Notamacropus eugenii: one gene and its partner. The protein of the gene in region 1 interacts with the protein of each later gene in a pairwise test. Links are inferred from orthologs where the notes say so. Each region holds a gene or a part of one and is shown in the gene's direction. Other genes may lie near its edges.

Region 1 (3,747 bases):
TTGAATCCATTGGGCCACGTAGCTGTAATAAATTTGTTTGGCTATTCCTGAACTGATAGGCAACTACTTTGTTTCCAGTTCTTTGCTGCCATAAATATGTTGGTGCATGTAGAGAGGTTTAACTTTAACTCTTAGGTCAATTTCCTTCTTCTGAGAACATTTATTCAGAGTTGTAGTGCATCATTACATAATGAGGTACCTTGCATTCAAGTGGTGGATCAAATACAGAAAGGACAGGACTCCCACTTACAAGCCCCTTCATACTTAACCTCCTAATGTTAGGGCATGGAGTAGGTTAAGCTCTCCTCTCACAAAACCTAAATTGGGAAGACTTTATGCAAAATACCAAGGGAAATACAGTTTTCTTCAAAGGAATCTTTTGATATCACTTGGTAGTAGACACACCAAACTCTCAACGAATCTAAACGATGATCCTGCCCAACCATCGGTTATGTCGGCATTTTTGCAGGCTAGTACCAATTTTGCTGGTTATTCTGAAATGCAGGAGGTAGAATTTATCATTTAGTACTTAACGTTTAAGATTTGCTATCAGTTTTAGGGTGTATCAAGATTGGCCGCTCCCTGCCCTGCCCCATGTTGCGAGGGACGCTTTTTTTTCTTAATTTAGAGGGCAAAATAAAAGTGAGCTCTTACCTCAAAACTCAGTATGACTTTTCTGAAGGATTAATTCTGGGAACAGGACAAGCCTCAGGGGTCCCGTGGAGACATGCCTCCCATGCCTGGAACAGGCTAGGCGCTTAATAAACCTGAATTGAATTGAATTGGGATAGCCTAGCTCACTTACAGCAAAGGAAAGATATCTGAGATCCAGCTCAGTACCTGGCACAGAGCTCCTAAGTCTCAGGCTGAGGGGCGGAGCCTGCCTAAAAACCCCACCCTGAGACTCACCTGAGCCCCGGAGCCAGATGACTCACCTGCCCTGCCCCCATCCCCCTCTCTGAGCTCTTCCAGGGATTTTCTTCTCCTCCCCTTTCCCCTTTAATCTCTTCCTTACGCCTTCCCCACTCCAGGGGACTTTTCCATCCTGGGACAGCGGTTCAGGGCTTGGGGAGTTTGTCTCAGAGCAATACCCCACCCAGTCGCCCCCCTCTCCTCGAGAAATGTGTACAGTTCTCTTACTTGCAGGGAAAAGTCAGGGAGAGGGCGCGCGGCGGGAATGGCCGGAGCGGCCGCGGGGGAGGAGCCGGGAAGAGCGGCGAGGCGGAGCGGCCGCGGAGGGCGGTGCCGGGAAGAGCCTGGAGCGGGGCGGGGGGCCGGTGAGGGGCCGAGGGGCGGAGGCGCGGGCCACGGCCCATTTCCTCCTCGGGAGTCGGGACGGGAGACAAAGCGGCGGCGGCGGCGGCGGCGCTCGGCGTAGGGGCCTTTGGGATCCTCCTCTTCTTCCTCCTGCGCTCGCACCCCTCTCACCGCAGGTAACTCCCGGCGCTCCCTGGGCTCCGGGCCTGGGGCCCTCCGACGGACCCCGCCATTAGCTCCGGGGCGCCCCGCCCCGGCCTGCGCCCCTCCCGCGGCTCCCCCTGAACTTTGCGAGATTCGCGGGGCGGCGCCCCTCCCGGGCCGGGGAGTGCGGGGGCCTTATCGGCGGGGCGCCCCTGCCCCGCCACGCCCCGGGGAGGGGAGCGAGGCCCGGGGAGGTGGGGGCGCGGGGAGCGGGGCCCGGGCCGGGGTCAGCCCAGGTGGGCACTTTGGTGGGCAAGTGTGGGGCACTCCCTTCCAGGGCTGCGGGCGGGCTCCGCGGCGCCTCCCCCGCTCGGGCCAAGTTTCTCGAGGTTCCCGAACTAACTTTGTTAAGTTGTCGGGCGCGCCGAACCCTCCTTAACCCCGGCTCTGCCCGCACCCCAACCTCCCCCCGGCGGTGGCGGAGGTGGGGGGGCGCGGGGCGCTGGTGCGGGCGTCCAGCCCAGTCACTTCCCTTTGGAATAATTCGCATTTTATCCCCTGGGCGGGGCGGTGGTCCGCTTGCCTTGATTGGATTACTTTCCGAATAGTTTGATTGTTTGGGTTTTTCCAGTGGTTTCTCTTTCCTTTCTCCTTCCCACACCCGGAAATCTCTGGAATCTCGGTGGCGGAACCCAGATTCCACTTCCCTGGGCCATTTCACCAGGGAAAGTGATTCATTAAAAAAAGACTTCTGGCTCTCCGAAACTCGAGAACCTGATCCATTCGTGTTGGTTTTTAATTACGTAGCTTTGTAAATAAAATGGACTCTTAACTTGGATTGTCAAAGTACTCCCAACTTTTTATGCTAATGAATAGGACAGCATTTAACTCTTAACAATTTTAGTCTTGGTGCGGAAGGCAACCAATGGATAATTAATAATTTTGTAGTTAGATAACTAAAGTTTGCTTGTAATCTTTCAGGCAAAAATGAGTTTCCTGCTTAAGCTAAATGGGGACATAAACCGTGTTGTAACTTTTTTCCCACATTGGATTGTAGCTAAATAACATGAGTTGGAAACTTTGGTAGAAATGATCACATCCTTAGAGCTCCTTGATAGGGAAGCAGTTTTGATGGGGGTGGGGGAGAGGAATAGGGATTTCATTTTTCTTTTTATTAAAAGTACTGATTTAAAAACCTACCCATGCAGGTTTGCCTCACTTTAAGAAAATTAAAAATTATATAAATGTAAGTTATTCAAATAGTAAATATTGAGCACCTGTTACGTGCCGGTAATAATAATAACACTTGTTTATTGCTTTAGGGTTTCTAAAGTGCTTTTTTCACAATCCTGTGAATTTTTCCCATTTTGCGGATGAGAAAAGAGGAAAAGTTACCTTCTTGTGTCTGAGTCCCAGTGAAAGCCTAGGTCATCCATCTCAAAGTCCAGTGTGCCATCCACCATGCCGTGCTGTCCAGCACTAGACTACATGCTATTGGGGATGTAAAAGAAATATAAAATGTCATCTTTACCCTTGGAGACAGTCTGGTTATTGCCTCTGACCTAGTCTAAAACAAACTTGATCAAATCACTTACTGTTCAAAAACTTTGAATGTCTATTCATTCACTACAAAATGAAGGAAAAATCCTCCAGGCTGGCACTAGAGTTCTCCATAATAGGACATACTCCTTGCTTTTAAACCTTTTCTTTTTATGATCCACTTGTACCATTCATGTGGAGTCCTTGTCATTCACTGTTGTGAGGTGTGGTGTATTTGAAAGATTTTGGGTTCAAGTTCTGACTCTCCTTAGCCTTATAATGTCAAGTTCCTTTGTCTTGGTGTGAGACTCACTTTTCTCGACTTTAAAATGGGAATAATGAAGACCTGATTTACCTGGTTATTCTGCGGAAGATTTTTAGTAAACCTTAAAGCTCATTATCAAAGTGTGAACTACACCCTTTGTACCTTTTTTGCTTTTGATACAGCCATTCTCTCTATGTAGAATGCCCTTTTTTTCCCCTTTCTGCCTGATGAAATTCTGCCTATCTTTCAAGATCCAACTCAATTGTTGACATTTACATGAAGTCTTCTTACTTGAATTGGAAGCAGTCCCTGAAGTGCCAGGGTACTTTACTACTCATGACATTTTTTAAAAATAATTGTGTACTTGTCTTACCTCCCTCCCATATGTAAACTCCTTGAGGGTAAGGACTGTTCATATCAGTCTTTGTCTCAGCCACATCACTTTGCCACATAGGCATTCTATCAGTTTTTTTAATGAAAAAAATATAAAGTCTGTAACAGATAAGGATGTTTTTGCTCCTGCTGCTGTCACTGACTGGACA
Region 2 (3,747 bases), on another chromosome or scaffold:
TAAGGTTAAATCCTTACTTGTTTGACTTTTTTTCTTCTGAATTATATAACTTGTTCTGAATTATATAATTATCTCAATGTTCATCTTCACTTTGAATACCTGGCATTAGTCTTAGGGGTCAGATACCAAAATAACGAGGCGACCTTGGCTCAGTCACTTCACCTGTCTCCGTCTCCCCCTCTGTAGGGTTTTGAGAAGCGCTCCAACGGCTACACACCTACAGGAAAGGGTCCAGAGCGGGATTCAAGGAGCCCATGACGGGACCCCTATTTTACGTTACTATCCGTGTGACCTTGAACCAGTCTCAATCTCTGTGAACATCGATTTCGTCACTTATAAAATAAGAAGGTTGGACAAGGTGCCTGACAGTTCCAAACCCAAGAAAAGTTTTCTCTTAAGAGAACATGAAAAACACTTCATTAACTCTCATCCTCTAGAGGGCCCTCACTCAGTGCGCAAAGACCTTGCCCCGCCCAGGTGGAGGGTGGGCACGGGAGCCATTCCCACCAGGCGCATGCGTCAACTGCTGAACACCGCCCCTCCCCTCCGTCTCAATCCCCTCAACTAAGATTGATGCCTATTTCCCAACAGCCGATTCGTTAGAACGTTCCTCTTTCTTTTTCCTTTCCTTATTAACAGTCCTTCCCGGAGCCACGGCCGCGCCTGAAGCAGCGCGCACCTTTCCCTCGCCAGCCTCTCCACCAGGGATAGGTATTGGCAGCGGCGGAGGGAAGGCGCCGTCGAAAGTGCCGAAGCCATCCCCGGCCTTACCCCAACCCGGTGGGAAGGATCAAGATGGCGTGTCTGCTGGAGACCCCAATCCGCATGAGCGTCCTCTCGGTGAGTGACCCGCGGCGGCTGCCCGGGGTGGGGGTGGAGGGAGGGGGCCGCTCCGCCGCCTTCCGCACGCGGCCACGTTCTCCAACGACTTCCGTGGTTCCCGTCCCGTCCCCCGCAGGGCGGCCCTCCCTCCTCAGCCGGCCGGGCTCCGGGGAGGTGTCTGGGGAGCGCTCGCTGCGGGGACTTGGGAGTCGGAGATCAGCCTCAGGCAGCGGGGCCCTCCGGGGGACCCGGAGCCCCCGGCGCCGGCGGGGCCGCCTGGAGATCTGTCCACCCCGAGACCTGGCTGCGGAGGGAGACTGATGGCTCGTCTCCCTGCCGGGAGAGTGGGGCGGCCCCCTCCCTCCGGCTCCCTGACGAGCCCCGGAGGGGCTGCAAGGGAGGGGAGGAGCTGGGGCAGCCTGCCGGGCTCGGGGTTCCTAGCTGGGGACCCCGCGACTTTCAAGGGGGCCAAGCCTGGTATCCGGGTACGTGCGGGAGTCGCTTGCGGCTGAGTTGGGAGGAGGGGGGCTCATGCTGCAAGTCCGGTGAAAGTGTTTGTTGTCCGACCTCCTTTATCTGGAGCTGTCCATGGGGTCATTTCTCTGTTGGAGCCGCCCGGGGTAACGACAGATCAACTCCTTGGAGGGAGTTCAAAGAATAAAAAGGGGGTGACCAGACGTTCACCAGCTCGGGGAGAGGGCACCCTTGTAAGCCTGGCCTTCCAGCGCTTGGAAGGCTGTCACTTAGAGGGGAGGATACCGATCGGTTTTGCTGGAGAGAGGTCGGAATTTCAGGACCAGTGGTGGAAATTTTGCAGCCCTTACAATTGGAGCTGTCCAAAAGTAGTTGGATATAGGACTGGCGAAGCGGCCAACTTATTAAGGTAGCTGTTCAAACGGAGACTGGATGGCCGCTTGGCTGTTAAGAGGTGTTTTAGAAAGCATTTCTATGTGGGGTGGGGAATTGGAGCAGATTCCTTTTTTTGACCCAAGAGACCCTCCCATTTCTTTATTCCTATGCTTTTCTTTCCTCCTCTCTGTGCCCTTTTTAATGCTTTGGGTTTTGAGCAGATGACTTATTTGTGAGGCCCCTTTGACTCTGTGGTTTTAAATTAACTACATCCCCATTTCCTTAACGGATACCGTATTTGGGGAGGATTTTGAACAAAACACCTCAGAACTAGAGAAAGGGGACCTCTTCTTATCTATTCTAGATGTAATATAGTGTATTGACAATGCAAGTATTACAGTTTTAAGTAAAAGTTTACCCTCAGCTGTCCATGACACTGTCCTAAGTCCATCTTAATAAATTTTATATACCTTACTTATCAAACTCAACACAAAGGTCTAAGAACAAGTGTTCTCATCCTGATCAGATCAGGCCATTGTTCTGTCTCTGACAATGACGCCAAAAAATATTTTTTGGAGTATAATGATAGTTTTCTTTTAGCAGCCACATCCTTATAGATTCAGCAGTTCAATAAATATTTATTAGGCAACTATTGTAAGCATAGTTCTGTGCTAGAGGTTACTTATAGAGTGTAGATTCGGCATGGCCTCTGCCCCAATGCAGTTTACAGGTCAGTAGAGTACCATGAACATTCCTAACTTCTAAATAAACTTCTTTAGTGCTATCAACCATGCATCTCTCTAAGTTTTAAGTATTTACCTGCAGTGAAAAGTAATTTTTTATTTTGTTCTGAAGCCACCTTCTTCGGTCTTCAGGGGCTGCCTCCTAATTCATGTTGTGATAATCGTTGTTGGATAGGGCAAAGTGGATGTTTAGCTCTTATCTCAGGAGATGCAGCCTGCTTGTGGAGTTGCCACAGTTTGAGATATGGTTTCACAGTTCTGTAGGTCCAGAACTTCATTTCACCGTGAGTTGTTTGGTGTTTGAGATAACTTGCTTGTATTGTCCAAACAGAGGGATGATTTGATCCAGGATACCATTTTATTAAATTTGCTGACACATTTTTTACATGACTGAAAACTTGATGTACACTATTCTGGTGATTTCTTTTGTAGTATTGAGGTAGCTGGGAAACTGAACTGTTAATCAGAAGATAGCTCAACAAGCATTTCATCGGAGAGAAAGTTGGATTTGGCTCCGCCGCTTGCTACCTGTTTGATTTTGGACAAGTTACCTAACTCTCTGGACTTCAGTTTCCACATCTGAAAAATGAGGGGATTTGATTAGATAAACTTTAAGGCTCTTTCCAATCCAAAACTTAGGATCCTATTAACAAGAGTTATCATGATCATGATCATCCTAGCTAGTATTTATTTAGCGCTTTAGGCTTTGCAGAATGCTTCAGGAGTACTATCTGATTTGATCTTCCCAACAATCCTGTGAGATGCTATTGTTATCTCTATTTTAGAGATGTGGACACTGAGTGAAACAGGTTAAATGACTTGCCCAGGCTCACACTAGTTCCTGTCTAAGGTCACATTTGAACTTTCTTCTCACTCTAAGCCTGGTGTTCTATCCACTACTTCATCTATATTTCATTCAGCCTGAAAACTCTCCCCTATACTTTCTCTTTTAGAGAATTTATCTGTTCCATTGGCTTTAATTATTACTTTCTCTACAGGCGACAATTCTCTGTCCCTACAACCTGAGGATTTTTCTGAGCTGCAGTCTTACATCTCTAGCTTCTTGCTGGACATATACACCGGGGAGTTCTGCCATAACCTCAGATTAAACATATTGACAGAGTACTACATAAATATAAAGATAGGGATTGGACCTGTGATTTTATTTATATAGGAGATGAAATTATGTTAGAATGTAAATGCCTTGAAAGCATTCATTGATTACTTCATTCTTTACATTTGTATCCCCAAGGTAGCTCAGCATCTTCTCTGCAACTTAGTCTTAGAGAATTGTCTAAAAGTACCAAAAGTTTGAGTAACTTTCCTAGGGTTA

Evidence for each region.
Region 2: the proteins of CTNNA1 (region 1) and ARMC8 interact in a two-hybrid assay, tested with the Homo sapiens proteins (2 studies listed by BioGRID and IntAct). The link is inferred for Notamacropus eugenii from reciprocal best matches to the Homo sapiens genes CTNNA1 and ARMC8.

What each region holds. Positions count from the first base shown.
Region 1 is NC_092872.1:366,019,444-366,023,190, forward strand, and holds the start of CTNNA1 (catenin alpha-1), read left to right. Parts: upstream 1-1,234; 5' UTR 1,235-1,433; intron 1,434-3,747. UniProt on the Homo sapiens protein: Associates with the cytoplasmic domain of a variety of cadherins. The association of catenins to cadherins produces a complex which is linked to the actin filament network, and which seems to be of primary importance for cadherins cell-adhesion properties.
Region 2 is NC_092876.1:329,188,120-329,191,866, reverse strand, and holds the start of ARMC8 (armadillo repeat-containing protein 8), read left to right. Parts: upstream 1-924; 5' UTR 925-1,142; coding exon 1,143-1,307; intron 1,308-3,747. UniProt on the Homo sapiens protein: Component of the CTLH E3 ubiquitin-protein ligase complex that selectively accepts ubiquitin from UBE2H and mediates ubiquitination and subsequent proteasomal degradation of the transcription factor HBP1.